Linked DNA regions of Arabidopsis thaliana. The protein of the gene in region 1 interacts with the protein of each later gene in a biochemical or structural test. Each region holds a gene or a part of one and is shown in the gene's direction. Other genes may lie near its edges. The genes, in order: RR5, AHP5, AHP2 and AHP1.

Region 1 (8,430 bases):
TAGTCTATAGTTAATTTCTAGAAATGTTTACATAAAATGAAAATTACCTGCTGGAAGTAAGTAAATTGTGTGATTTCCATACCATCCATCCAAATCTCCCAGCCCAACCCCCAAGCACCAAGCACCTGTAAGAAACCGTATATCGTGTGCAGTCATTCACATGATCAGACACTTGCACGCTGAGAGTATAATGAGAAACTAAAAGAGATGGAAAACGCATAAAACATGGGTTCACACATTACCGGGCTCTCCCAGTTGTCTTCTACAAACCGTATATCGTGTGCAGTCACATCAATACCTAACACATAAAAATAGTAAGGGAAGGATTATCTGGATGAGAAAACTTCCTAATGAAACATAAAGACGACCTTCACATAATCAAACCTTAAGCAAATCAAAATTAACACTATAAAACCACAAACCAGAACCAGCACAGGGTGAAAAATTCAATCAATTGTGCATCTACAAGGAAAGGAACCTATTCTGTTAAAAGACATGTAAGTGGAAACAAAAGAGAAGGCAGAAAGAATCAGTACCTAGAGCAGAAAGACTGTTGATAAAGAGCTGTTGAGAGTTTCCAGGGTCAGGTTTCAATATGACTTGAAATTGAGTGTGTCTTTGAAGCCTATTGGGATTCTCTCCATAGCGAGAGTCGTCAGGACGTATGCTTGGCTCAACATAAGCAACATTCCATGGTTCAGGACCAAGAACCCTCAAAAAGGTACAAGGATTCATGGTGCCAGCTCCGACCTCAGTGTTACTTGGTTGCATAACGGCACATCCAACGGAAGCCCAATATTCCTTCAATTTCAAAACAAAAGAGAGTAATTCAATTTGAATTCGTCGAACTTTTGAAAGTAGAGAATTGGAGATGAGTGAGAATCGAACGAACCTGGAGGCGTTGAATCGCTTGTTGGAATGTAGGAACAGACACCGCGCGGGTAACATCATCGTCGGGATTACGATAGGATTGGTGATGAACAGCGGCGGAGGAAACGGCGGAGGTACGGTGAAAACGGCGGCGGGAGAGGAAAGGGGACTGAGAAAGAGAGCGAGGGAGGAGGAAGAAGCGAGGAGAGGCGTGAGGACGAAGGAAAGAGACGATAAGAGGAAGAGAGAAATGGAGGATGGCCATGAGTGTGACCAGACTCTTTGTAGAAGAGAGTCAATGTGTAGTGCTCGATTTTTGGAAGACGAGAGAGATAGAGAGAGGTTTTGTGTTATCCTTTCTTCCTTTTTTCTTTTCTCTCTCTCGAGTTCGCGGTTCGACCTAAACTATATGATTTTTTCAAAAGAAAACACCATTTAGTCTAAAATGTATTTGACAAAAAAAAAAGTCTAAAATGTAAATTCACTAAGCAACAAAAACAAAATTGTAAGCTGTAATAATCTTGTACATTTATAGATAATTATTAAATAATTTCAGATATATAATCAATGAATGATGAATAACAATTGAATATAAGTAATTCAGTTACTCACGATTATTTATAGAATAGGAGAATTCATAAAATAAATCGAGTATTTGTAATCCATAACTTAAAATTTCTATATCAAAAGATTACGTACGTAGAGAAATCAAAATTTGGACCCCGAATATAATTTTGAATAATCATATATTAGCTTATTGATTCTCATTTTATAACATTTTCCTTTGTCATATAGTGAAATTGAGACACACACAAAGAAAAGATTTTTTTTTTTAAGTATAATACAAGAACATTTTTATTTAGACCATGCTAACATCTTCCCAATTTTATCAGATGTCCCAAAAGAACCTAATACAACAACATGCATGTACCAATTCATATCACATAGACAGTTAACACGAAAGTTCGTTGGTTTTTGTAAGGAAACCAATAAAGCATATTTGTCTTCAGCCTCTCATACTATTTGAGAGGTAAAAACCGAGACCATTAGGATTATTCTTTATAGAATGTTTTGGTGCCTAACAAATTTTACTGGCATTTCTTTTTTTTGCCATAAACTGTTAAGAGGTTTATTTATGAATTGTTAACTTAATTTCTTTGATCAAACAATAGTAAGTTCTATAAATGTATCTTGTGATCTTTGACTATGATAGACACTAAGCTCGGACTCATGTACATAGCCAAAACACTCATATATATTAAAACAATAATTTCATCGGTAAACTCATGTTGTTTCCAAATATACAAGTAGAGAAAACGTGTAGACTTACTCTGAAGGGACACGCATATACATACTGATAAACAACCATCATGGAGAAATCCGAGCCGTTTCTCTGCAAGCCAAACCAAATTTGACATATATAGTAAGGTCATGTGCTCTATACACCTAGTACCTCACATTCATTTGATATCTCCTCTAGAGATACATCGATCATAGTCATATTTTCAGCTTTCAATGATGATTTAGTCATTACCATTCTTGAAATATATTGGTCGAGTTTAGTCCATAGATCTTCGATCCTGTCGTGACAAAGCCTTCCATCAATTGTCAAAAGATCTCTCACGTGTGGAAATACTCGATGCGTGTTGCTAAATATGTGAATAAAAGAACGCCAAATTTATAGAAAAAGCGAATTAAAATTCAAGTAAACATATGAATATTTTTCAAGAAAAGTGAATTGAAATTTTATTTTCATGAAAACTTACTATTTTTTTTTTTTTTTTTGAACACTCATGAAAACTTACTATTAACTCATCAATCTTATGCCATTCGACCACGATCGATAGTAGAGGCAACTATTATGGTACAGTTACGAGATGGACAAACAACAATAACTTGAAAAATAATGATTTTTTGTTTTGTTTCTAGAAATATACACATACGGATCTTGAATTTATCTGATTGCGCAACTAGAGATATCAACATTGAAATTCATTCGCCCAAATAGTCAATCTGGCGGTCACATGTCAGCTAACTTTTCCAACAATGTTCATTAATTAATTAACAATCTCAAAGATTTTGTAGATTGAAATACAAATCTTCTCTCTGTGGTACATTTCTTGAAAAATGGGAAAATCAAGAAAGTATCGAAAATGTACAAAAATAAAAAGAAATGAATCAAAGTAGCCATGATCTTGACAACAATAATCGAGAGAGATCGTCATGATACGATTTCCCTCATCCAAAATTGATTTTATTTCCCTTCCCAAATCAAACATATCATATGATTTCACCACTCACCATTACTTGACTATTCTCAACAAAAAAAATATTAAAAAACTTTATGACTTTGATTTTATTTTTATTTGAAGTTTAGCCAAAATTTGAAAATATGACTTTTGAGAAGAAAACAGAATAAACAAATAATTAGCCACGCGCTATCAGACAGACAAAATCCCACAGATATGCAAAGATCTCTCAGAATCCTCTCCCCATATCATATTTTTCTCTTTTCCCTCTCCTTCTTTCTTCCTTTATAAATCCATTTATTCTCCTCTCATCTCTCAGCAAAATCAAATCCTCATAGTTGATTCTCTCTATCTCTCTCACGAGTCACGATCCTACTCTTCTTGATATGGCTGAGGTTTTGCGTCCCGAGATGTTAGATATCTCTAACGACACTTCTTCATTAGCATCACCGAAACTTCTTCATGTTCTTGCTGTTGATGATAGTATGGTTGATCGGAAGTTCATCGAGCGGTTACTCAGAGTCTCATCTTGTAAAGGTAACTGTTGTGTTTGTGTTTATCAAAAAAAAGTGTTGTGTTTGTTTATCTTGTGTAATCTGTTTAAGTACAAGAATCTGACATTAGTTTTGTTCTGTCTCAGTTACTGTTGTCGATAGTGCGACAAGAGCTTTACAATATCTTGGATTAGATGGAGAGAATAATAGTTCGGTTGGATTTGAGGTAATAAATCTGATCATTGTGTTTAATATTTTTGAGAGTGAGAATCCATTCAAATTTGGTGTTAAAAGATTTTTGGTTTGAAATTATATTTTAGGATCTGAAGATTAATTTGATAATGACGGATTACTCTATGCCTGGGATGACTGGATATGAACTACTGAAGAAGATCAAAGTAAGTTTTGTTGATGATTCAATTGTTTTCACAAAATTAAAATGAAGTTCTGATTTGACGAAAAAAAATTTAAAAAAAAATGAAGTTTTGATCTAATCTTGTTTATGGATTTTGAACTTTTTAACAGGAATCATCAGCTTTCAGAGAAATACCAGTTGTGATTATGTCTTCAGAGAACATCTTGCCTCGTATCGATAGGTATATTCTACTATAATAATCTTAACTATGATCCTTAATTCTTGTTTAGGTCAAGATTATGTAGGACCAAAATTTACCAAATATAGTAGATTTTGTGCATTTATTACTTCAGGAGATGGGGATGATTAGATTTAGAGGGTATTGTTTGTTTAGGAAACTTTTTAAAGTAATCACACTAATTTAGGATTTGTGATAAAGTTACCGTTAAAGGATATGTATTGACTAAATTAAATTGTTGTATAATCACAAGATTTTGTTATGATAGAAAAGGTTATTATATGATTACTTTTTAACTATCATGGGGTTAACTTTGGTGGTGGTTGTATATTTGATCAAGCTGAGATTTGGTGTTTATTTTAGTGGGTCCTAAAATGATTTTTAAAATGGATCTTAGGAATAATAAAATTTATCTTGTGGCCATAAATTTAGAAAAGAATAATCCATCATAAGTTAAGCAAGATCTTCTCTTGAGATTTGATTCTATATAAGCCGGTGACATGTTAGGCCCTCCAAAACTTTATAATATATGTTTTAATTGTTTGGGTTGCATAATCTTAGGTAGGGTCATTTATAAAATCCCAATCCTCGTGATAGACACCTCACATGCCTTTGCTTATTACTAAGGAACCAAACCCTCTTTACCAGATTAAGTTTAATGATTATCATATATGAGCTGGCCATTTTCTGTATCCAAAGTTATAAACTTTATGGAATTAGATCACTAACATTTGGTTCCTTATATTTATTCAGATGTCTTGAAGAAGGAGCTGAAGATTTCTTATTGAAGCCTGTGAAATTAGCTGATGTGAAGAGATTAAGAGATTCTTTAATGAAAGCTGAGGAAAGAGCTTTTAAGAATATTATGCACAAGAGAGAGCTTGAAGCTAATGATATCTACTCGCAGCTAAAACGCGCAAAGATCTGAGTTTATCAGATTCCACGTACGATATGTTCTTTAAAAGCTCAAAGATTCACACACATGCATGTCCTGATTCTTTCGGCTTACAATTTTTGAGACATTACGGCTTCTTTTGCTGATAGAACCAAGACTGATCAAGAGTGACAAAGATGGGTTTTTATAAGATAGAAATGTAAATTGTAGACTTGGATTCATTAGAGAGGAGAAGAGATACATTTTTTTTTTCTTTACATGAGAGATATGTAAAATGGTGGTGTGTTATTTTGGAAGTTAACATATGAATTTCTTTTGTTAAGATTACTTAAATAATGATTTAGGAATGGATTAGTAGTTTAGTACCGTTCATTACACGAAGACAAGCTAATCTTTTGTCTAATTAAAATAAAGCTGTCTACATGAATCGAATCCAGCGAGATAAGTTAGTTATTTTAAGCGTTGGTTGGAACACTTTACATGGCTTTTCGTAGAAATTTCCCCAAGTTGGGTTTTATTAAGACCAAGAAAATTCTAGTCTCCTAGACTTTTTTTTGTTTCTTTTGTTAATTTAGTCTCCTAGGCTTTTTCATTCTATCTGAAAGCAAAATATGGTTATGCAATTTGGTTTAGCCAAAAAAACAAACTAAATTTTTCTAGTCCGGTTCATGTAACTTCATAATCAAACAAGTAAAAGTCGAATGTGACGCGTCTTGCCGAACGCAAAAACGGACCAGGCAAGAAGGTGTAGTTAGTTAATTCGGTTAATATTCAGCTGAGAGAAATCGAACCGGTTCCATATCTTGTAGATTATCCGGTTTACTTTCCGGATAAGATTTATAAGCAAAACAGAGTTAAAGTAGTAGATTTCTTCTATACGAGACCAAATCTGAAAACCCAAGTCAAGCTACAAAAACTTAACTCCAAGCGAACAAATCTCCTCATTCATTAAACAACAAAATTGTTTTCCGACAAAAAAGTGAATATCATTGAGTTACTGCGAAATCCCAACCGAGAGTGACATCTCAAACCAAAAGATGGAGTCTATATTAAAGAGACGAAGACTCCAAAGTCAAGCTACAAAATTTCCAAGCAAAGATTACACAGAGAAAACTTTCCGACCAAATGTGAATGTTTATGAAAGTTTCTGCGAAACTCCAGTCATGTCGGATGTACAAAGCCATACACCAATGTAAAACCGACACGTGGAAAGCTAAGATTCCTAGCTTTTCTTTCTTCATGAGTCTCCAATAGCCAAAGAGTCAACTCCAAAAAAAAAAACCCATTTTTGCATTGAAATGGTCTCATGATGGGGTATTTTGGGTAACTAATTAGTCCTGTCTACATCTTCCCATAAATTAACAGAGTAGGAGCGGATTAAAGAAGCAAGACGATTCAAAAGAAAAAAGAGAGAAGAAAGTCCACTAAAGAAAAGAGAATAGATATAGATCAATGGCGTTTGAAGCTCTTACCGGAATCAATGGTGATCTAATCACCAGATCATGGTCAGCCTCGAAGCAAGCTTACCTAACCGAGCGCTATCACAAGGAAGAAGCAGGAGCAGTCGTAATCTTCGCTTTCCAACCATCTTTCTCAGAGAAAGATTTCTTCGATCCGGACAATAAATCTTCCTTTGGAGAAATCAAGTTGAACCGTGTTCAGTTTCCTTGTATGAGGAAAATCGGTAAAGGTGATGTAGCTACTGTTAACGAAGCTTTCCTCAAGAATCTTGAAGCTATCATTGATCCAAGAACCTCATTTCAAGCTTCTGTAAGAAGATTGAAAACATCCGAATATATTTTTCTTTTTTTTTCTTTTTTGGTCTCTTATGCTTTTACTTCTTCAGGTGGAAATGGCTGTGAGGAGTAGAAAACAGATAGTGTTCACAGGACATTCCTCAGGAGGTGCAACTGCAATCTTAGCAACAGTTTGGTATTTGGAGAAATACTTCATACGCAATCCAAATGTTTACCTTGAGCCTCGTTGTGTGACATTTGGAGCTCCTTTGGTTGGTGACTCTATCTTCAGTCACGCACTTGGGAGAGAAAAATGGAGCCGGTTCTTTGTGAACTTTGTCTCAAGATTCGATATTGTCCCTCGGATTATGCTTGCTCGAAAGGCGTCTGTAGAGGAAACTTTGCCTCATGTTCTTGCCCAATTGGATCCCAGAAAGTCTTCCGTCCAAGAGAGTGAACAGAGAATAACAGAGTTTTACACAAGGGTGATGCGAGACACATCAACTGTTGCAAACCAAGCTGTTTGTGAATTGACTGGAAGCGCAGAGGCGTTTTTAGAGACCCTTTCTAGTTTCCTTGAGCTAAGTCCTTATAGACCCGCCGGTACTTTTGTTTTCTCTACAGAGAAGAGATTGGTTGCAGTGAACAACTCGGACGCCATTCTTCAAATGCTGTTTTACACTTCTCAAGCCAGCGATGAACAAGAATGGTCTCTAATTCCATTTCGAAGTATCAGAGATCATCATAGCTATGAGGAACTGGTACAGTCGATGGGAAAGAAGTTGTTTAATCATTTGGATGGAGAAAACTCAATAGAGTCTACGCTCAATGACCTTGGAGTGGTAAGTCTCTCTCTCTCTCTCTTTTCATACTGTGCAGCTCCATAGCTCCATTCTTGCAATCATTTAAACCCTTCAGAGTGTTTCCTTTTTCTGCAGAGCACAAGAGGCAGACAGTACGTTCAAGCTGCATTAGAGGAAGAGAAGAAACGAGTAGAGAATCAGAAGAAGATTATTCAGGTTTGTGGTTGATAAGCTTGTTCATGAATAATGCAGGTACGTGCTTCGTCTGTTTGTGTCTAACAACATAAAACTTGTTGGTTCTGTGGTTTTTAGGTGATCGAGCAAGAGAGGTTTTTAAAGAAACTAGCATGGATAGAAGATGAATACAAGCCAAAGTGTCAAGCCCATAAAAATGGGTATTATGATTCCTTCAAAGTTTCAAATGAAGAGAATGACTTCAAAGCAAACGTCAAGAGAGCTGAGTTAGCCGGTGTTTTTGACGAGGTGCTTGGTTTAATGAAGAAATGTCAACTTCCAGATGAGTTCGAAGGGGACATAGATTGGATCAAGTTAGCAACTCGATACCGCAGATTAGTTGAGCCTCTTGATATTGCAAACTACCATCGACATTTAAAGAACGAAGACACAGGGCCGTACATGAAAAGAGGAAGACCAACCCGCTACATATATGCTCAGAGAGGCTACGAACATTATATACTGAAGCCAAACGGAATGATTGCAGAAGATGTATTTTGGAACAAGGTAAATGGTCTTAACTTAGGGTTACAGCTAGAAGAAATTCAAGAGACTC
Region 2 (7,409 bases), on another chromosome or scaffold:
AAACCTGCGAATCCCTTCTTTCATCCTCTCCATCACCTCCACCGAGATCCCATGATTCACCACCTGGAAGAATCCCCATCTCTCCGCAGCGTCTCCAATCTTCTCCACCACGCTCCGCCGCGATATCAAATCCATGCTTCCTCCTTTCAGATCCACCGTGGGGATCGTCAGCTGCTGCGAAGGTGGTGCTGTTTGTTTCAGGCTTGTTAGAGTATCCGGAGGTGTATGGAACATGGCTGGAATCTCTTTGATTCCCGAAGCCACAAGCCCTTTCACGCCGGTTTTTGTCTCGTCGAAAGCTTTTGCTTGACTTGAACGATCACTTGACTCCATCTTGCTTCTTCTTTCTTTTTTTTGCAATGCACAGATTTGCATAAGTGCTATTATTCCACATCTTAATGCACATCTTAATACAATTAAATAACAAAAGGAATCGTGACCCATATTAAGATAACAAATAAAGAAATGAATCGCCAAAAACAAGGTCCATTAGTTTATTTCAATTCCTATATTAAAATTTGGATTCTTAATTGGTCGTTTGTCTTTACAAGTAAGAATAGCATCCGGTTTGAACTTTTGTTAATTAACTACACACTTACCATATTAAATCTCATCGCCATTGTTGCTCGCCTAGCTCTCGAAACGCCACTAATTAGCAAAACAACATTTAAAGATATCTCGTTTGGAGGACTTTGGACAATCGTTCCGCTACTGTTCATTTTCTCTCTCTTTGAAGTTTTTTCCAGTTTTTACAGATCTAGTTTTTTCTGCCTCTGTTCTTCATCTTAGGTTATGAATTTGCAAGACAAAGCAGGAGTAAGGCAAGCTATCTTCTCCGGCATTGGAGTGGTGTGGTTTTTCCGGTAAGCGTGGCAGCGGTGGCCCTTTCTCGGTGGATGAGAGGCTTCTCTTCCGTTTCTTCCTGGTTATGGACGTCGGTGGAGATCGGTGAAGTCTTTCTTGGTTCAACCACTTGGTTAGACGCTGTAGCTGTGGCGGAAGACGCTGTGGATTGGTGGGTTTTCAGTGCGTGTTTGATGGTTAACAAACTGGATCTGAGATGGCTGTTGCGGGTTCCGGTTGCTGAAGGGTTGTCTGAGCCATCACCCTTCTTTAGCCTCCGTTTTTTGTCTCCATCAATCCGGATTGAAGGTTGCTTTGCTTTTGGAAAATTTTCAGATCTAAGGTTTTGGAGGTCAGAGGCTTGGAAATGCGTGGTCGTTTTGCGAGGTTGGGGACTCGACCAAATTGGGTGGCGGAGTGTCGGAAACTGGGTTTTTTCCGTTAGGTTTGTTGCAGGTCCGGCCAGCTCATTGGTAAGAGATTTGCGGCAGGACTCGTATACTTCGGCCAATGATCTCGTTCCGGTGGTTGTGTTGCAAAGTAGTGGGCCTTGTATACGACGGTACTAATAGATCTATTTGCTGCCTCCGTTCCACTGCCCAAATCCACCTCTGGTTCTCTTTTTCCGGTGACCGGATTTTTCCTGTTTTGTAACTGTGGACGATTGTAATTCCGGGCCTAAGCCCAATTGGGACTGGACCTTTTTTTTTAAAAAAAAAAAAAAAAGATATCTCGTTTGTGGAGAACGCATGCTAGCAACTTCCCTATCTATAAAATCAGATTTGCACCCCACAAACTAAAATATTATTTACGTACTTGATTAATTCCTACAATATAGTCATTTACAAAAATAACCCTCCATTTGATATTTAAGTCAAAATCAGTCAACGGAACGTGGAATAAATTATAACTTTCGACGCTCCGATCAGATTCATCATCATCTCTCTCTGTGTCGCTCCGATTTTGAATTTGGAATCTCTTAGTTAAGTTGGAAGTTTGTTCTTTGGTCTTTTCGCCTAGTTGTTGTTGGATCTGTTTTAAATTAAGCCAAAAACCTCCGATTAGATCGATCTCGGAACCGTCGAAATACAGTTCACCGTATCCGTTGTTTGTTTTTGGTATATGTATGTTTGAGAAGCTCTTACCATCTTTGTTTACAAGTCTGGTTCTTGGTAAACTTTAGCTATGAACACCATCGTCGTTGCTCAGTTGCAGAGACAATTTCAAGACTACATCGTTTCTCTTTATCAACAGGTTCGTTCCTAACCAAACTTTTCTTACTTTGGCTGGATTCTCACTTTTGGGCTTAGATAAGCTTAAGGTGCAGTTATGTGTGAATTTGAATTTTTTTATTTTTTTTATAAAGATGATATAATATGTTGTTGTTTTGAAGGGATTTCTGGATAATCAGTTCTCAGAGTTGAGAAAGTTGCAAGATGAAGGAACCCCTGATTTTGTAGCTGAAGTTGTCTCTCTATTCTTCGACGACTGTTCCAAGCTTATTAATACCATGTCTATATCCCTGTAAGCTTTGCTTACTCTCTTAGGCTTCTCTTTTTTATCTAACATGGGACTTTGTCTCTAATCCTCCTTCATATTCATTTTTGAGGGTGTAAATTAGCTTCATATATTCATGACAGCATTTTATGAGTTTATTATAAACATTAGGGAGCGGCCAGATAATGTGGATTTCAAACAGGTGGATTCAGGTGTTCATCAACTCAAGGGTAGTAGCTCCAGGTTTGTCACAGTGAACACTGCTAAATTTGCTTTTCTAGTTTTAAGTGACCAAACTACATTGATTTTAATGGCTCAGTCTCTGCTTTGTACTCAGTGTCGGTGCAAGGAGGGTGAAAAATGTGTGCATATCTTTCAAGGAATGTTGCGATGTTCAGAACCGTGAAGGGTGAGTATATTTTTTAGCTTGTTGATGCAAAATGTTATTGGATCTCTAAACTTTTTTATTATATGAGAAGCTATTCTTCTAATTCACACACAAATTGTGATAATGATATCTGGCACAGGTGTCTAAGGTGTTTACAGCAGGTGGATTATGAATATAAGATGTTAAAGACTAAACTTCAGGATCTCTTTAATGTGAGTTTTAAACTTTGCGAAAACCTACTTGTTCTGCTTGTGTATTCTTTTTACTGAGCCTTTTGCTACTTCTCATTCTTCTGTTTCTGTTATGTTATGTTGTTGCAGTTAGAGAAACAGATCCTCCAAGCTGGAGGTACAATTCCTCAAGTGGATATAAATTAGACCGATGCGTTTCTCGATTATGCAAATGTTCAAGGCTGATGACACAAATGAAACCGAAACTCCTCTGTAGTTTTGTTGTTGTTGTTATGTTTTATATTGATTAATGAGGTTCAGCAACACTGTCCCTGGCCAGATATCGTGTCTTGTTTAGACTCTTAATTGAGTTCTAAGAGTAAAAATTGAATTATTAGTCTATAAATAGACATGTCCATATGTATTCCTGTCACAATGCAACCACCATTTGGAGCCTTTGTTCTGACCATCATGACTTAGAATTCTCAGCATTATTCTGAATCTGATATACTCTATTGGATTCATGATTTTGATTTGAGCCGTAAAGCATGCGGGTACTAGTTAGCACTTTAGACGATTTCATTATGTGTGGATTAATCAAGAATGATTTGTTTGAATTATGGATAACACGATTCCATGGTCTCTTTATTTTGTTAACGGTATTCCATGGTCTCTTTTATCAACATTATTGTTATAGGGCTTATAAGACATGATTGTGACAATAGATTGAGAAAGGATTGGGCATGTCTTGTTAGGTATGTATTTAATATAATGTCCGAATTACCTCAAACTAGGAATGAAATAAAAAGAAAATGTCGAAGAATTATCAATAGATTGTTTATAAGTGGAATAAAAAATGTGAAGCCATGTGTCTATGGTAATCACTAGGTGGAGCATTTTTTTTTTTTTAAAGGAAGAGTATGTGAAGTGAAAGAGACTAATGAAACATAAATTGAAGGCATGGAGGCGTGTAATGTAACAAATAATAACAAAGCTTTTCTCCTCTATCCTTCATTTTATCATATCCATCTTCATCATTTTTATTTCTCTCAACCAATGTTTTTAAAATAATTTTGTAATATCCTTATAACATGGTTGGTTTTAGGGTTCTTCATGAAACCGATTCAAAAGTCAAAGCAAATCTTATATCGGTTACTATGTGATCTTACCTTCTATGGAGAGAGGATTCGACGACACACCAAACAAACACAAGAGTCCCAAAACGAGTGCGTTAATTGTCTCGTAGTGCGGACCATCTTAGGGTTTAGACCTTTTTAATTTTGTTCATTATGATTGGAACGTATTGCTTTGGCTTTCTTGCAAAGCCAAGTTTTCTTTTCATAAATCTAATTTGGTCTACTCATCACTACCTAGTCTCTCTTAGAATGAATACTAAATCATTTTTATTATGCATGGTTGGTATATGTGAATCAGTAGCGAATCATTATTTGAAACGTATTTAGATGTACGCTATGAGTTAATTATTTTCAGAAAACGGTAGTTACACTTATGAAACTAATTAATGCACATCAAAAGTAGAGACAATCTGCTAATATACGTACACAAGGCAAAAGATTGTACAGTAGAGGTATATATCGAGCTATTTTGTTGCTTGCGTATGTAGTGAAACAAATGTTAAAATTGGGTAAGCGTTATAAATGTTGACCTGACCATCTTATGCATGTGTTGTTGCTAAAACTTGTGGTCCAAGCTCCTATTCCTTTTTTTAACATACAAACAACAAGTTTTGTGAAAAACCAAATGAGTAAAAACTAGAGAAATATAACATGTCACTGTTTTTACCATATTTACTCTTTTTTTTTCCTTTTGCTTTTAAACTTAAAGTCAATCTCTTATGCGTTGTCCAACTTTTTTACCAATTATCTTTCTTTACGCCCACGGAATTGAAGGACCATTTGCCAGCTACCTTTGTAAAATTTAGACAGTTGGAACAACCTTACAAATCTTTTTTTTTCTCTTTCACCTATCTAACTGTCATAGCTAGCTTTTACATCTTTCTCATATTCATTTTATTCATTCGTAAAATATTAAAACTTTCTTTCATATATAAATATAGATTAATACAGTTATATATTTTTTGGTCAATGAAGTAAGTTAGTAATTAGTATAATGGCTAAATGTAAACGAGTGAAAACAATTGACAAAAACATTTGTTGATTTATGCAAGAGTCGGTATACGAAACATTTCTTCGATAGATGTGTTAATCTATAACTTCATCAAAGAAGCCCTATGGCGAATCAAACATTTAGTACTAACTAGGGACTATAACATTTAACTAATCAAAAGTAGTTGTGAAATAAACTTTTGGTCGCAAGATTTGTTGGAAGTGGATATAGTACAGTAAAGCTTAGTTAGATATAGACTAGGACACACTTCAAAGTTGATATTGACTAAAACTTTCATCAGTTACATTGACCATTACTTAACCATCTATCATAAGCTAAACTTCCTACGATATGCGTTATGATTTGTGTTAAATATCAGGAAAATTCTTTATTTTATTTTTTCATCAACTTCAATCAGGAAAATGAAATTGTAACGCTGATTTTGTGTTTTAAAATCGAGCAAAATATATCTGGAAAAAATAATAAAGTACAATTATAAAACAAAGGTAGTAGCTAGTACAATAGAGTAATTATCGAACCAGAAAGCTGACGTGTCACGGAAATCTCGCTCGTCCAAGCTGTCACTCAAAACAGTAAAACTGAAACGCACACAAAACTCACGTGACGAGAAGACACACTTTTTATCGTCTCTCTCACCGAACCTAATCTGTTTCTTTACGAACCTAAGGCTCGGACAGCCGTTTTACCATATTACCTGTTCCCCATAAAAACCACAGCTAAAAGAAAAGAAGGCACCTTTTTTCATGTTTTTACTGACACAATCCAAATGTATAACCTTTCTTAATTTAGCATTCTAATTAGTGTTTTTGTCCGACACATTAAATTTTCATATCATCGTCTTCCACCACAAGCCACCAAAAGAAACAAACAAAAAGAGCGGAACAAAGAGGAAAATGAAAGTATAGAGAATTTACCAAGTATCTTTGTATGTATGTTAAACTGTATATTAGATTAACTTACCATGTAGATTGTAGAGAATATGTATTCTTCTTATTAATTATGATGTGAGTACAAAGAGAAAGATAATCTAGAGTTTAGATTACAAACTTGATTGAGAAGTAACTTAACATATATACTTATCTTCGTATATTCTTCTCTGTACAAAGACTGACACTATTAGACAAAATAAAATATAAAAAAAGGAAACAAAAAATAGAGGAAGAAGAAAGAAGAAACAGACGACGACGTTGATTCATTTCTTGGGTTTTTGGCTTCCTTCTCAAGCCATTTTGTTTACTCTCTTTCTCTTCTCTCGATAAACCTTTCTTTTCTTCCTTTTGCTAATCGTTTATTGATAATCCTCCATTAAAGCTCTCACGGAAGCTCCCACGAGAACACCTTCTTTCCACCACATAAACCAGAGACTTTCCCTCTCACGAGAAATCAGAAAACAAAACCCATTTTCTCTACTTTACAGCTCGTCTCTGTTCTTCCCTCTGTGTATATATATAGTCTCTGTTTCTTGAACCTGTAACGGCTAAGTCTGAAGAAGAAGAAGAAGAAGATGATGATGAGATTTACCAAGTTGGTTTGGTGTTTGATGTTCCTGCTTCGATTCGGCTTCTTCACGGAGGCGATTCTCGACCCAGTTGATTTCTTGGCTCTGCAAGCTATTCGTAAATCCCTCGATGACTTGCCAGGTTCCAAGTTCTTCGAGTCTTGGGATTTCACTTCTGATCCATGCGGCTTCGCTGGCGTCTACTGCAACGGAGATAAAGTAATCTCTCTCAATCTCGGCGATCCTAGAGCCGGTTCACCCGGTTTATCGGGTCGGATCGACCCAGCAATAGGCAAACTCTCTGCACTCACTGAGCTCTCCATTGTCCCCGGCAGAATCATGGGTGCGTTACCGGCAACAATCTCTCAGCTAAAAGACCTTCGTTTTCTCGCAATCAGCCGGAATTTCATCTCCGGCGAGATTCCGGCGAGTCTCGGCGAGGTTCGTGGTCTCAGAACACTGGATTTAAGCTATAATCAATTAACCGGAACTATCTCTCCGTCAATCGGATCGTTACCGGAGCTCTCCAATTTGATTCTCTGCCACAACCACTTAACCGGATCAATACCACCGTTTCTCTCACAAACTCTAACCCGAATCGATCTCAAACGCAACAGCCTCACCGGCTCAATCTCACCGGCGTCTCTCCCTCCGTCGCTTCAATACCTCTCACTCGCTTGGAACCAGTTAACCGGATCGGTATACCATGTTTTACTCCGGTTGAACCAGCTTAACTACCTTGATCTCAGCTTAAACCGGTTCACCGGTACAATCCCCGCTCGAGTCTTCGCCTTCCCGATCACAAATCTTCAGTTACAACGCAATTTCTTCTTCGGTTTAATTCAGCCGGCGAATCAAGTGACGA
Region 3 (7,097 bases), 6.5 Mb from region 1:
TTGTCTTTAAGACTTGTTATATTTCTTACAATATGTTTGTTATGTTCTCTGGTGTGTGTTTTGTTTTTTTTGGTATTACTTTCATATTTTTTTGGTCGAAGAGGACTTGTATTCGACAATGTCGCTTCAATTTTGTTGTTTCCTTAGAAACTAAATAAATATTGGTTTATATTGGAGTAAAATGTGTTTGTACTTTGTAGTTAATCGTTGAAAGTTTTGCCACTTATTGAGCTTTGTCTGCGAGAGTTGACTCGGAAGAATATTTGCACATTGTTCATAGAGAATCACATGATATCTCTTCTCTGGTGGATTAGGAACCAAACGCATCTTGTAAAAGTTTCCAGGTTGGAGATTCTGATTTCTGAGTGACACCTAACGATTCCATATTTAAAGCTTTATGTTTTTGTATGTCTCTCATTGCGATTGGTATTTTTTGTTTAAGTAAATATGCATAAATCCATTCGTAGAGGCATTCCTTACAGTACTAGTGACCACATATTAACCTTTTAGGTACGCACACCGAAGTTGGCTACATAACTTGGGTGAGTATTCCAATCTGTAATGTGAATAGTTTACCATATCACATATAGCTCTGATACCATAAAAAACTATATGTGAATAATATTAAAAATCTTATACACAAAATTTTCTTTTAAATGGTTAGTCTAATTGTAATTTAAAAATATCGAAATAATAAGTTGCAATTTTTTTTTTTTTTTTTTGGGTCTTTGAAAAGAAAATATAATGTCAAATACTTTAATTTTTCCAAGTAAATCGAAACATAAGATTGATATTTTTCTTTTATATAAGAAAATTAAATTAGATTTAATATTATTAAATGAGTGTTTCATATTATATTTTTCAGAAAAAGAGTTTTTATTAATTAACCAAATACCAATAATTTACTTAAAAACTTGTATTGAATCCAAATGTTTCCCAAAAAAAAAATATTTAATTGGGATTGACAAAAATAGCACCAACAAAATTTTTTCTTCCAAAAATAACAACTTTTTGAAAAATTTCACAAGTAGCTTTCAAAATTTTAATTAAATATTAAATATAAATAATTAATTTTATTTAAATAAATAAAAATAAAAATTTTCCGCTAAAAATTTTTCGTCAAATTTTCTGCCAAAACAATTCGGTAATAAATTTTCCCGCAAAAAAAATTTTCCGTCAAATTTTTCTTGTAAAAAAACTTGAGGAAGCTAACTACGACATTCGTGAGGATTTCACGGAATTCAGGAAAGATTTTACAAAAAAAATTTTCGTAAAATTCTTCCTGAATTTCGAAAAAGAAAAATTCGGGAATTCAGGAAAAATTCTACAAAATTCAGGAAGGGTTACAAAAGAAAAAAATTATAAATTTCGTGAAACCTTTCCTGAATTGCTTAAAATCTTTCCTATATTTTGTAAAAAAAATTCTGAATTTTTTTTTGTAGGTAAAATGTGGGCGGCGTAATTATTTTTGGTGGAAAAATTTTGACGGAAATTATTTTGTAGAAAAATATTGTTGAAAATTTTTGGTATGAATTTTTGTATTTTTTTAAATGTTAGTTGTAATAATTAAAAATTAAATAATTATTTGAGTGTTATTTATGTTCACAAAACTTTTGAATGGTATTTTTATCAAAAAAAACTTTAAAATTATGTTAATTATGAAAATTCTCTATTTAATTTTTTTCACCCAAATAAATAAATACATAAAAATGTCCAAATATTTGTGTGTTTCTCTTTTAATTATTGTTTCCCATTTAAAGTAAAAAAATCTGGTAGCAGCGTTACAATTCGCGAGAAAGACAAAACACAAGTTTCTTCTTCTTGGGATTGGCTATTTCCAGAAATCCAAGTCAATAATCAAAGTCCAAACAAAAAAATCCTCTCCCAATCTCCGCTTCACTCTTCTCATGGACGCTCTCATTGCTCAGCTTCAGAGACAATTTCGTGATTACACCATTTCTCTCTACCAACAGGTTTCAATTCCACAATTCTTCAAACCCAATTTCATCTCTTTGCTTAGCTAATTTAGCTCATATACACACTAGATTGACTCCTATATGCATAGATTCATGACAAAAGTGAAGAAAGATTGAATCTTTATGTAGATTTTTACAAGTTATGATTTTTAGGGATTTGAGTTGTGTAAAGGTTGGAACTTTAGATTCATGGGTTTGTGTTTTTTTTATGTGAAGGGGTTTTTGGATGATCAATTTACTGAGTTGAAAAAGCTACAAGATGATGGAAGTCCTGATTTTGTGTCTGAAGTGCTTTCACTTTTCTTTGAAGATTGTGTGAAGCTTATCAGTAACATGGCTAGAGCTTTGTAAGTTTTTGATATTCTCTCAGCTAGATCATCATTGCTTGTGTTGTCTTAAAGTGTGATTGTGGCTACTTCTATTTCAGGGACACGACAGGAACTGTAGATTTTAGTCAGGTAGGTGCTAGTGTGCATCAATTGAAGGGTAGTAGCTCAAGGTATGTATCATGTCTCGCTTTATATAAGTAGCAGAAGTTGTGTGTTGTTGATTGATGAAAAGCTTTGTGTTGTTTCTATGTAGTGTTGGTGCCAAGAGGGTCAAAACTTTGTGTGTTAGCTTCAAGGAATGTTGTGAAGCTAAGAACTACGAAGGGTAAGCGAGTTATGGTTTTCTCTTGGGACTCATTGGTTGAGTAATAATAGTCTCATGTTATGTTACAGGTGTGTGAGATGTTTGCAGCAAGTGGATATTGAGTACAAGGCGTTAAAGACAAAGCTTCAAGATATGTTCAATGTGAGTGTGAATAGAATCCATCTCTGTTTTTGGCTCTGCTTTTAATGAATCATTTTGGTTATGAGTAATGAACAAATCATTGACATTGTTGTTGTTGTTGTTGTTTCAGCTTGAGAAACAGATCATTCAAGCTGGTGGTATAGTTCCTCAAGTGGATATTAACTAAAGAGACTAGTCCATAAGAAGAAAAAAGATGATGACTTTCTTTCTTTAGTTTCTCTTCTAAATTATTTTGGATTTGGTGTTTGCTCAAAAACTCAATAAAATATGTGCAAAAAGAAACAAAAACAAGTGATGGTTGTTTATAAATCAGTAGTATGTATTGTTTGATCTCATCCGAGAAAATTGAAACCATTGGACTAATGAATGTGATGATAATATATATTGGTTTGCTTCTGAAAGGTTTGGTTTGAGTAAGATATAGTGATTACTAAGTAAGTCTTGACTAGTGGGTGCTTCTAAAAATTGTGTGTTTAGATCTTTTAGTTTCCCAAATTTGCCCATAATGTTTTCGTAATTATCTGAATTATTTGTCTCGAAGTTGACCTTTACTCAAATTAGTAAAAGTTTGGTAGTGACTTTCCAAATTTTTACAACCTGTCTCCTTATCAGAATATGAATATCGTAAACCCTAAAACCTAAATCTAAACCATTACCCATTCGATATCCGAAATGGACATTCTAAGAAAATATGGTAATTCTTTCAGGATAAATCACAAACCGCTTTCGACGAGATTACGGAGCATGTAGTTAATAAACGGGGAAAATGTCATTTAAATCATCACTTTACCATTTTCGTTGGTTTAAATCATGAACTTTGGATCTGGTGAATTAAATCTTTAATTTTATGTTGACTTTCAAATTAATCACAAATTCTTGTTGACTAAGCAAATTGAGACACAAATTCTTTTTTTCGATGTCGTCAATCGACCTTAAGACGAAATATTACTTTGAATTCGAAAAAGAAGAGAAATTCCAAAGAAGATGAGAGATTCTGAAGAAAAAGAGAGAAAAAATCAAAAATTTTGATTAGAAAGATTTCTAACGATGTGCCTTAATTGGCTTAGTCAACGAATTCGTGATTATATTGAACGTCAACATAAAATTGAGGATTTAAATCACTAGATCGAGATTTTATGCTTCAAAACCAACGGAAATGGTAAAGTGATGATTTAAATGACATTTATCCCGTTAATAAACCAATGAAACCAATAATTGTGGGTTGATATATCTTGAACTATTAATTTGGAGAGATTTGTATATAGAAATTTTATTTTAGGGAGAAAACTAGGTATAGAACTTTAGTTTTAGAGATATATAAAATTATAGATCGGAGTCATACTTTGAACTCTGGTAATAGTTTGGAAATAGACCCTTTTTTTTCCGAAATGGACATTTAAGAAAATGTGATAATCATTTTGGGATACATCACAAACCGGTTTTAGACCAACGTAGATTACCGATATAAAAGATACCAATAAAAAAATTAGAGATTAGGGAGCACGTAGTTAGTTGTAGACGCGAGTGTAGGAGATAACTATCTCTTTGCAAAATAGCCTTCATAGCTTCCGCAACAAGTAACTTTTTTCATCAGTCTCTACGAGTTAAAAGCTGAGCGAGAGCTAGACTCTCTGCAGATCAAGCTCAGCGATTCAGGCCCTGATACCTAAATTCAAGTTAGTGTTTTGCTCTGGTAAGCTGATCAAAGCTCTCATCTTTCTACATTCTTTTGATTCTTCCCCTATTTTCTCGAAAAAAGCTCACGATTTTTTACAATTTCAGTGTTTTCTTCTCACTCTCCTGTGTTTGATTCTTGTGGGTTTAACGTATTTGATGCTGAAACAGGTTCAATCAGATGAAAGTTTTCATCTTGGTGGCAAAATCCATAACCTTCATGTATGTGGTTACCAGAGGATTGATTCTGGTGTTTACTCGGTTTGCTAAGGATTTGGGGGTCTTTGTTCGGTTTCAGTGTCACTAAAAGAAACTTCTTTTATGACTGAGACTATTGTGGAGCATGAGATGGAAGAAGAAGCTGCAATGAGCTTGGTTTTGTTTTCAGAAAAAGTATGGCTTTGAATTGTCTCCTCATGATGATGATTCCATGGATTTAGATGGTGTTGAGTTGTTACTAGACTTGAGGGAAATGGTTTCTCAATCGGGTTTCGAAAAGTCTACTACTTGCAGTGGTGTTATTGCTCTGAGAAGTAATCTGCAGAGTAAATCAAGTCACAAATGCAAAATATGTGGCAAGAGTTTTGAGTGTTATCAAGCTCTAGGTGGTCACCAAAGAATTCACAGACCGATTAAAGAGAAACTAGTGCGTAAAAGGGAGTATACTAAATTTGATAATTCATTGTTTGAGTCCTTAGATGCTATTTCAAAACCATCAAAATTTGAAGTCTCCCAAGAGGAGAAGATGTTAGATTGTGTTTGAGTCGAAACAAGAGTTCAGTGAAGTATATCCTCGGAAGAGTAAGTTGCAGAAAAGACCTGAGAGTAGTAGCTCCTGCTATGAATGCAAAGTATGTGGCAAGATTTTTGGGTGTTATCGAGGTCTAGGTGGCCACACGAAACTTCACAGATCGACTAAGAGGGAATTAGCGAGTACTCAAGATGAGAATTCACTGTTAGACTCATCAGAAGCTAAGAAGATTGTTTCACAACCATCAAGCTTTAAAGTCTCTCAGGAGGAGAAGTTCTTACATTGTGTGGAGTTAAAACAAGACTTCAGTGAACCGCTTTCTCATTCGGGTGCATTACCATCTACTCTGAGAAGTAAATTGCAGACAAAAACTCAGTGGAAATCAAGCTGTCATTGCAAAATATGTGGCAAGAGTTTTGTGTGTTCTCAAGGTTTAGGTAATCACAAAAGAGTTCACAGAGAGATTAGCGGGAAATTAGCGTGTAAAAGGAAGTACACTGAAGACTATAATCCATTCTCTGACTCATTAAAAGCTAAGAAGATTGTTAAAAAACCATCAAGCTTTGAAGTCTCTCAGGAGGAGAAGATCTTACATTGTGTTGAGTTAAAACAAGACTTCGGTGAACTGCTTGCTCACTCGGGTTTCGACAAGTCTATTAGTTGCAGCAAATCGATCAAAGTGAAAAAAGTAGCGCGTAAAAATGAGAAAACTGAAGATAGTACTTCACTGTTTGGCGTGATTGACTCAGAAGCTAGCAAGTTTGCTTCACTACCATCAAGCATTGAAATCTATCATGAGAAGACCTTCCATTGTGTTGAGTCAAAACAAGACTTCAGTGAACTGTTTTCTCGCTAGTCTACTAGTTGAATCTTTTTCTCTTCTAAGTACAGAAGTTGCAGATGTATACTTAACATTTTCCTCTTGCTTGGTTCAAATACAGTTTCTTTGGTTAACTCATGTTTTCAGATACAGAACCAATCCAAAGTTCAAAATTGATTACTTAAACCAATTAATTGGTTTAGCGATTAGGGAGCACCAAGTTTATGATACGCGTGAGTGTAGGATATAACTATCCTCTGTCTTCTTTCTTTTGCATAATAGACTCATTAGCTTCCACAACAAGTAAATTTCTCCATTGTTGTCTGTCAATAGCTTAGATCGAAAGCGATACTACAAACTCTGCGATAAGTAAAAAAAAAGTGTTCTTTAAGGTCTTCAGCTCTTCGGATTAGGTCAAAACGTGTTCTTTCTCTTCCTGAGTCATAAAATCAAGTGAAGATTTTGTTCTGGTAAGCTAATCAAGCTCTCTGCTTTGCGATTATTCTTTCGTTTTCTTCCACATTTTCCCGAGAAAATAAACTGGAAAAAGCTTTAGACTTTTTCAAGTTTCTAGCGAAACATGATCACTCTCTTCTTAGAAATGTCTGATTTTGTGTGTTTCTTCGCGATCTTTGTCTTCTTCTCTGTTTTCTCGAGAAAATCAAACGGAAAAGCTATGAGCTTTGTTTCAATTTTCAGGTTTTTGTCGGCGAAATGTCTCAGAGACTTCATGGTTGCAAAACATGCGGGAGAAAGTTTGGAACTTTAAAAGGTGTGTATGGTCACCAGAGGATGCATTCTGGTAATCACAATAGAATCGAAGATGAGAATGGTTTGGAAAGGATTTGGGGTCTTAAGAAGAAGTCTAGGGTTTGCTCTGTTTCAGCTTTTGATCGATTCAAAGGATCTTCTTTTATGGCTGAGATTGAGAAACATGAGGTGATTGAAGCTGCATTGAACTTGGTTATGTTGTGTCAAGGAGTTTATGACTTTGCTTCTATCAGTAATTTGCCTCTAGGTGATGGTTTCATGGATTTAGAGCTTAAACCTTGTCCTTTGAGAAGGAAACTACAGAAAAAAT
Region 4 (7,750 bases), about 10 Mb from region 1:
CCTTGGAGGCTTGAATTCTCTTGATGGCTCTGATTATTCCATAGCAAGATGGAACCACATCGTAAAGGTACAATTTCGTTAGATCAGTCATTATTTAGTTGGTCTCATATATAACCAAAAACCATGTATTGTAAGAACAGTATTACGAGGATTCTGGAAAGCCGACGCCTAGAGTTGAAGTGATGAGGTTTCTCAAGGGAAAAGGATACTTGGATTCAAAAGAATTTGCAGGAGAATGTGAGCCTGTAGTCATTATTGCCAAAGGACAAAGTTAGTTTCTCCATTTTCTCTTAACTTGCAAAGTTCAATGTAGTAATAGTACTAATATGTGAAATTCTTGATCTGATGCAGATGTACAAGGAACATGCAAGTACGGGACACGGGTCGATTACATTCTGGCATCTCCAGAGTCACCTTACGAATTTGTTCCTGGCTCGTACTCAGTTGTTTCTTCCAAAGGTACTTCTGATCATCATATAGTCAAAGTCGATTTAGTTATAACCAAAGAGCGATCTCGAGGTAACTTCAAACATTCACGCAAGAAAGCAAAGCAGAAGATCTTTCAGATAAAAGCTAATTTGATGTCGAAAGATACATGGAAACTAGGAAATCTGATGTCTTCATAAAGTTTGGACACTGATTAAGAAACAACACTTGTGTATATGATAACGTTTATTCCCATCATATTAAGATGCAATACAACATTTAGTCTACATATTAATAGCTATGCTTACAAAGAACTAAATAAAAGTTTAAGTAAACAATGATATTCTTGTACAATCTACAACAAATCTTGACAAATAATTTAGAAACAACTGAGGTAACCGATCTTAGGCAGAGACCGAGGCTTTCTTGGTCTCCTCTTCAGCACCTACCTCCTCAGCAATTGGCGCGTACCCGATTCCACTTCGTTTGCTCGGAAACAAAGCAAAGATAGTGGCTGAGGCAACACCCACGGCAGGAGGCAAAGCCATGACAAGTGTCTTCTGTGTTTCCCTGAACCGAGGATAAAAGCAGCTCGCGGTATTAGCGTCAAGCAGCACCAGTGTACCAAACACAGCCAGCACGAAACCCGCATGAACGAAATCCGCTATCCTAAGCTTGTACTTGGATAAATCCACGGATCCTGGCTCCGCGTAAGTCCAAAGACCTTTCTTGGTGACTATACCGAACTTTCTTGATCCGTCAACGCCTTTGAAACTATCGGTAAAGCATGAGAAGACGCAGGAAAAGCTGCAAAGGGCGACAAGAATGCTCGACATGACCTTATTACCTGTGGAGCATTCACCGTCGTTAGTGAGGACAGGGTTAAGTAGAAGGTAGATAAAGAGTGTTCCCGTTGGGAGAAGCTTTATAAGACTCTCTAGGCCTGTGAGGGATTTGTTTGTGTTTGCCATGTTTTCTGATGAAGCTGGAGAGTTTGTTTTGGGTATGAGCAAAGAAGTTTCGGACATGAGCTTGAACCTTAGAGTTAGATGTATAAACTATAAAGTATGTTCTTGGCTTGATACGTGTGTCGGTATTTATAAAACAATTTTGAGATGATAAATCATTGATCCGGTCCGAGATGTTGGATTTAACACCGTAGAAGAATTGGTAATAACATTGACTAAGTCAAACTATTTTAAATTTTGTCTATATGTCTACACACGAAGACTCAATAATTTCTAAAACGGTTGATTATAATTTCTTCGATAAGTTATTGAGTTTTGGAACTAAATGCGAAGAAATTTCTAAGGCGTCGAATAAAGCACACGTTTGGTGATGAATCTTGACTGAATCTAAAGAGAAGTTTCTCTTATGGATCCGTAAAAATTTTAAGACTATACAACGACTTTGAATGTCTTTTGAATGTGTTGTTTTTGTGTTTATATGTTAAAATGCGGTTAGTTTTCTTTTATCAAACATAATTTGTAAACGTGATAACACAAAATTGATAGAGAATATGGACTTGTGTTTTAAAATCTACGTTTACATGCATTTGTATTTTACATGATCTAAAAGTGTGTTTATCGTATGTGAAACCATTACGTCAACATGGATTGTTTTTACGGTATTGTGTTACAAATGTAAATACACCATTTTAATATCTAAACTCACTTTTTTCTTCTTTTTGTTTGCGGTTGAACCAACCAAGCCCATACACGAGATAAAATTGACAACTAATTTATTTTACTTGTGTAAATTGAACTTAACCTGAAATTGGCAGTGAACCAACAAATCGACTAACTCGTTCTGCATGTTTACCTTTTATTTGTTTTTAGTAAATAATATCGTATTTGGCTGCGTCTACAGCGACTTGTATTCTAGCTTTAAACCTTTTTAAAAACTTGATATGGCTATTGGCTATAAGGATTTTCTTATAATAAATTGCTTGGAGATATGGGTGAGTGCAAACTCTTTCTTGACTTTTTACGTATAAATTTGTTAAAAACTAAGGAAGCACAGTTTAACTTTTATACGGAGATAATATAATGTAAGATATCAAAATTCATAATAAGATTTGAAAGGTCCATAATTAGTGATGGAACCTTCTTACGATGGACCCATTATCAAGTAAGAACCACTAATAATCTTTGGTTAGTTAGTATATATAATACGTTTTATGCCATTCGTTAAACGCATCCTACGTTCTTGCATGTCCCATGTCCATTCATCATGTGAGACGTGTCAAAGCGTTGATGTTTACCCAAATTTGCAGAAATTAATACAGTGAAACTAATTTACTATTTTTATTTTGGCTTGACGTGTTGAAATTGTTATTGAAAATACGAATTGTCTAAGGAAAAAATTGTCATTTTACTGTGCATGAGGAAATAGATAAGAATGGTGTGTATGAGTATGATTGGGAAAGTATTTGGAGTGACGAAAATACCAGGGATATGCAAATGAAGAAATAGTGTGGTTGAAAAAGATGAGACTGGTGTGCTGATCGTTGTAGTTGAAAATGTTACGTAAAAATATATTGTATGTAGTACTCTATGAAAGATTGAAAGGATATGAGCTATTGCATATATATTGTTAGGTTGTTTTGAAATATTGTTAGTTGAAAGAAATTTATAGAGCAAGTGACAAACGAGTAAATAGAAAAGCTTTGAGAAATCACGAAAAAACATTTGAATTGTGATAAGTGGTTGATTATAATGAAAAATATTGGTATAACACAAAATATGATAAATCCTAGTTTAATAAGAATTCCACCAAATGATTGGACGAGATATATGACTAAAGAAATTATAAGCTGCATTTAGTTTTGGTTTTGAACAACATTACAAAGTGTTAGGCGGCATTTGAGTTCTCAAAGTCACAATTTCCTTGATAAACCCATTACGTTACGATATTTGTGATACATCAATATAAAATAAACTAACCAATCAATGTATTATTATAATAAAAGAATTGCTAGTTGGACAAAAACAATGAGGATCAAATCAAAATTATATTACAAATAAAGTTTCCCTAGAGATGCTATTTGAAAGATACATTGAATGCGAGCTGTGCATATTAGTATATGCTTTTCATCAGTAGTACAGTAATTTAAATATTCGAACCAATAAAATGTTTTAAAATCTTAAGAAAAAAAAAGACAAATCAAGAAGTATCAAATGCTCTTCTTATGTCTTTATCACATTTGCAAAAAAAACGAGGAAAAAAAGGCGCGAATGGTTAGACAGTTGACAGCACGACCAACTTCCATTCTTTAAGAGTTTCTTTCTTTTTGGATTCTTTTCTCACATCCAAACCAAAATTGTAATAATAAAATACAAACTATTTAAATTTAAAAAATAGGGTTTTTTGATACGGAGGATTTTGTTCTCATCTTTTAAGTACTGAGGATTTTGTTGGACATTTTCTTACCTCCATTATTGGCAGAGAGAAACAAAGAAATAAAGAACAAAAGCAAATAACAGAGAATATGGATTTGGTTCAGAAGCAGAAGAGTTTGCAAGATTACACCAAATCACTCTTCTTAGAAGTAAGTTTTTCACATTTGAAAAGATCAAATAATCAGAAAACTTGTTTTAACGTTCACAACTTTTTCTTTCTGGTTTTAGGACTTGTAGTAAAAATGGTTTTAGGACTTATAGTAAAAATGTGTTAGGCTTTTGTAGTTTCTTTGGTAAGATAATCATGAGTTTAGGTTATGTAAAATTAGTTTCTGATTATGGAAAGTCTTTTGTTTTGGGTAAATACAAAAAAGGGGATTTTGGACAGCCAGTTCTTGCAGCTGCAACAACTACAAGATGAAAGCAATCCAGATTTTGTTTCACAAGTTGTCACACTCTTCTTCCAAGACTCTGATAGGATTCTCAATGATCTCTCACTTTCCCTGTAATCTTCTTTACACATTCTCTCTTTAATCTTTTTTTTTTTGTTCTTTTCCAAAACTTGTGTTTCTCACTGTTTTTTTATGCTTCGGGCAGAGATCAACAAGTTGTAGACTTTAAAAAAGTTGATCCCCATGTTCATCAACTCAAAGGTAGCAGCTCCAGGTAACAACAAAAACAAAACTGGCTATTTCTGATTTTAATCCAATGATAATGACATTTTCTTGATCTTGAAATGTGTAACAATATATATTGCCAAAAAATAACAGTATAGGAGCACAGAGAGTTAAGAATGCTTGTGTTGTCTTCCGCAGCTTCTGCGAGCAGCAAAATGTCGAAGCGTGAGTTTAATCGATATGTTCGTTGGTCCATTCGTTATTTCTTTGTTTTAAGATCTGATTAGGAAAATACATCGTTGAAAAATTTCAGATGTCATAGATGTTTGCAACAAGTGAAGCAAGAGTATTATCTTGTGAAAAACAGATTAGAGACTCTGTTCAAGGTAAAAAGTCAAAGAGACTTTTTTTTTTTTTATAAAACCACCCACATAACTCTTATCTAGTTATACAATATTTTGATCAACATTTGAAACTTATCTGATTCAATTTTGGTTTTGATGATCGAATCTATGCAGCTGGAGCAACAGATTGTAGCTTCTGGTGGAATGATCCCGGCCGTCGAACTCGGATTTTGAGTGAATTTCATAAACATCTCTGTCCATTGTTGTTTCATTTTGGACTCTCTCTTCTTCCTCTCTTTATGTGACTATCAAAAAAAGGTTCTTATGTGAACTTCTTTCTTTGTGCCATTGGAAGAGTGAGACATGCTAAAACGTTTCTTAATCCACATCTAAATCCCACATATGTAAAATAAGATCTCAAGCAAACATATAGTCATGAGTCATGACTACAATTATATAGAGTTTGATCAAGATAATGTACGCATCAAGGTAATGTGATCCGGACAACTTGGTTAGGTATTAGGTTGTTGTTTTACTGTAACTGTTAGAAGTAGTTAGAAGTCTTGTAGTCCTTGACCAAAGAACACAGATGGGCCATATGAATTTTAGTAGCCCAAGATGATAACAAAGGGCCCGTACTAAACATCCATGATGATCTTGGAAATCTTTTTTTTATTACGATTGCACTTCGACGAATCTCTAAAGATTTTCAGACATTTATACAATGCAATTAAGAAAAAAATAAAGTTATACTATGTGAGTGCACGTTAAATAATGTAGCTAAAAATAAAATAATGACAAAATTCTTAATTACTTACAGATCCGTGACCTGTCGTCGACTATATATGGCTCCAATTTATAACCTCATGTTCGATTTCTAGACTTCTAGTTTACCACTTATAACTTTGTATTGCTCTATACTCGTATTAATTAGTGCTCCATCTTTTTTATTTGAACTTTTTTGGGTAAAGAATGAGCGTTCCCTTCATCGTTTGTTCATAACTTTACTAGTTCCTTTAATTGTACCTTCTGTTTAATTTTGTTTTCAAGTGACCTTTTTGTCTTTTCAATAATAATTAAGATTTCCAGTTCGTAATTTCGTATGTATAATGAACCATACCATTAATTATGCAATATGACAAAAATATGATGTTTATATGTTCTTCCACCTTGTTATTATCGATTACAAATTTAAATAAGGATCATAGGGTAAATAACACTTTTTTTTTTTTGGTTATAATCAATATCTTATTCCTATTTTATTGTTTCAAACATGCATAGTATCCAAAGGGAAGCATGTTTTGGTGAAAATATATGCATAGAAGAAGAAGACTAATCAGTAATCAAGACAAGAGATAGGTTGAATAATTCCATTAAGTTTTCTCCTATCTGTAGTCTAAATCACTAGTTACAACTTTCAACACACATGAAACACATTATACATGCATCATTATTCATTAATGTGTTAGGTTACGCTACGTATATTTTGTGTAGATTTGAAAGTACAGATATGTAATGTAATTATCATACAAACATCTCTTAATTAAAGTCTCCCACAAAGCCACAATATGGTGTAAGTGATTCCCGTTGGATTAGTACATTAGTCAATACACTACTTTTTTGACGGCTACTGATTTAAGTTTCTATTTGAACTATCCCCAATAATATAAATATCACGTCGATGTGATTGAGACGAGCAATAGAGCCGTGCTTAACTACTTTTATAGTGAAAATTAAATAAGGCTTATGTATCCAAATACTTGTGGTCAACTTTTGTGGTCTGAATTATTTATCATTTTTCTGTCACTTAAATTAAATCATATACCTTGAATTATACCAACATCTAACTTGGGAATAAGAGGTGTGTATCTTGCGGACAAATGAATTTAGACCGTTGTTAAAGAGCGTAAACTTTAATAAGACGTTAACATGTGTGTGAACAGAAAGCTATTCTCTAAAATTTTGATATTAAATTTGTACAAAATACATTTCTACGTGGATTTAAGGTGTTAAAAGAGTTCGATTAGTAAGCTTTACATTTTATTGATACTACCACTATATATACGTTGGAATGTCATATCAAACACAGATTAACAAATTCTCTCAAATGGCTCTCTCCGTATTTGCCTTTCCTTCTTACATAAATAGGAATCCTTCACTAAAATATCTTAAACCTTCTTCTATGTCTTCTACAAAATATGTAAGAGTTTTTTTCTTTTTTCCCTCTTTTACTTATTGATTACTATATGAAGTTGCATTATTATCAAAGTTCTGCAGATTATCCGTGAGAAACTATATACGTACACTAGTTCTTGTTAAGTTTGTGAAAGTTATTGAATTAATTGAAAATAACATAACATCTTTTTTTGGTTCAGTCAAAAGTAAGAGCAACAACATTTTCAGAGAAAGGTGAATATTATTCAAACAGACCACCAACTCCTTTATTGGACACAATCAACCATCCAATGCACATGAAAAATCTCTCCATCAAAGTATAAATCCTAATCCAAGTCTTGAACCTTGTTTTGTGTCAAATCAAGGATGTGATGATGAAAAAGTGTTCTGCTATGTAGGAACTCAAAGTTCTTTCGGACGAGTTGAGATCTGATGTTATTTTTAATGTTTCGAAAACTGGAGGACACTTGGGTTCGAATCTTGGTGTTGTTGAGCTCACCGTGGCCCTTCATTACATCTTCAATACTCCTCATGATAAGATCCTTTGGGATGTTGGTCATCAGGTTGGTTATCTCATTGCAAGCATAAGTTTTCCTTTAGCTACATGTACAAGTGTTTTTAACTTGTTTTGTTTTTGTCTTTTTGACAAGTCTTATCCTCACAAGATTCTAACGGGAAGAAGAGGAAAGATGAAGACAATAAGGCAGACCAATGGCCTCTCCGGCTACACCAAGCGAAGAGAGAGTGAGCATGACTCTTTTGGCACCGGGCACAGTTCGACCACACT

What was found.
Region 2: the proteins of RR5 (region 1) and AHP5 form a complex in vitro, tested with the Arabidopsis thaliana proteins (one study listed by BioGRID).
Region 3: the proteins of RR5 (region 1) and AHP2 form a complex in vitro, tested with the Arabidopsis thaliana proteins (one study listed by BioGRID).
Region 4: the proteins of RR5 (region 1) and AHP1 form a complex in vitro, tested with the Arabidopsis thaliana proteins (one study listed by BioGRID).

What each region holds. Positions count from the first base shown.
Region 1 is NC_003074.8:17,755,816-17,764,245, reverse strand, and holds RR5 (response regulator 5), read left to right. Parts: upstream 1-3,295; 5' UTR 3,296-3,505; coding exon 3,506-3,656; intron 3,657-3,759; coding exon 3,760-3,839; intron 3,840-3,933; coding exon 3,934-4,011; intron 4,012-4,138; coding exon 4,139-4,209; intron 4,210-4,959; coding exon 4,960-5,134; 3' UTR 5,135-5,819; downstream 5,820-8,430. Other genes in the region: EDD1 (glycine-tRNA ligase), read right to left, coding at 48-125, 243-298, 537-801, 893-1,135; EDS1 (alpha/beta-Hydrolases superfamily protein), read left to right, coding at 6,554-6,871, 6,948-7,679, 7,776-7,856, 7,953-8,430. UniProt on the Arabidopsis thaliana protein: Functions as a response regulator involved in His-to-Asp phosphorelay signal transduction system. Phosphorylation of the Asp residue in the receiver domain activates the ability of the protein to promote the transcription of target genes.
Region 2 is NC_003070.9:846,131-853,539, forward strand, and holds AHP5 (histidine-containing phosphotransfer factor 5), read left to right. Parts: upstream 1-1,662; 5' UTR 1,663-2,028; coding exon 2,029-2,097; intron 2,098-2,236; coding exon 2,237-2,367; intron 2,368-2,511; coding exon 2,512-2,583; intron 2,584-2,677; coding exon 2,678-2,749; intron 2,750-2,867; coding exon 2,868-2,940; coding exon of another isoform or gene 2,941-2,997; exon of another isoform or gene 2,998-3,048; coding exon 3,049-3,105; 3' UTR 3,106-3,491; downstream 3,492-7,409. Other genes in the region: 2A6 (2-oxoglutarate (2OG) and Fe(II)-dependent oxygenase superfamily protein), read right to left, coding at 1-444; AT1G03440 (Leucine-rich repeat (LRR) family protein), read left to right, coding at 6,551-7,409. UniProt on the Arabidopsis thaliana protein: Functions as a two-component phosphorelay mediator between cytokinin sensor histidine kinases and response regulators (B-type ARRs). Plays an important role in propagating cytokinin signal transduction through the multistep His-to-Asp phosphorelay.
Region 3 is NC_003074.8:11,260,219-11,267,315, reverse strand, and holds AHP2 (histidine-containing phosphotransmitter 2), read left to right. Parts: upstream 1-1,753; 5' UTR 1,754-1,907; coding exon 1,908-1,973; intron 1,974-2,192; coding exon 2,193-2,323; intron 2,324-2,403; coding exon 2,404-2,475; intron 2,476-2,558; coding exon 2,559-2,630; coding exon of another isoform or gene 2,631-2,634; exon of another isoform or gene 2,635-2,685; intron 2,686-2,698; coding exon 2,699-2,771; intron 2,772-2,880; coding exon 2,881-2,937; 3' UTR 2,938-3,190; downstream 3,191-7,097. Other genes in the region: AT3G29340 (zinc finger (C2H2 type) family protein), read left to right, coding at 4,876-5,091, 5,210-5,932, 6,716-7,097. UniProt on the Arabidopsis thaliana protein: Functions as a two-component phosphorelay mediators between cytokinin sensor histidine kinases and response regulator (B-type ARRs). Plays an important role in propagating cytokinin signal transduction through the multistep His-to-Asp phosphorelay.
Region 4 is NC_003074.8:7,575,704-7,583,453, reverse strand, and holds AHP1 (histidine-containing phosphotransmitter 1), read left to right. Parts: upstream 1-3,664; 5' UTR 3,665-3,916; coding exon 3,917-3,976; intron 3,977-4,201; coding exon 4,202-4,332; intron 4,333-4,424; coding exon 4,425-4,493; intron 4,494-4,597; coding exon 4,598-4,669; intron 4,670-4,757; coding exon 4,758-4,830; intron 4,831-4,962; coding exon 4,963-5,022; 3' UTR 5,023-5,742; downstream 5,743-7,750. Other genes in the region: AT3G21530 (DNAse I-like superfamily protein), read left to right, coding at 1-67, 141-270, 352-626; DMP1 (transmembrane protein, putative (DUF679 domain membrane protein 1)), read right to left, coding at 831-1,454; DXPS1 (1-deoxy-D-xylulose 5-phosphate synthase 1), read left to right, coding at 6,860-6,988, 7,164-7,280, 7,362-7,526, 7,614-7,750. UniProt on the Arabidopsis thaliana protein: Functions as a two-component phosphorelay mediators between cytokinin sensor histidine kinases and response regulator (B-type ARRs). Plays an important role in propagating cytokinin signal transduction through the multistep His-to-Asp phosphorelay.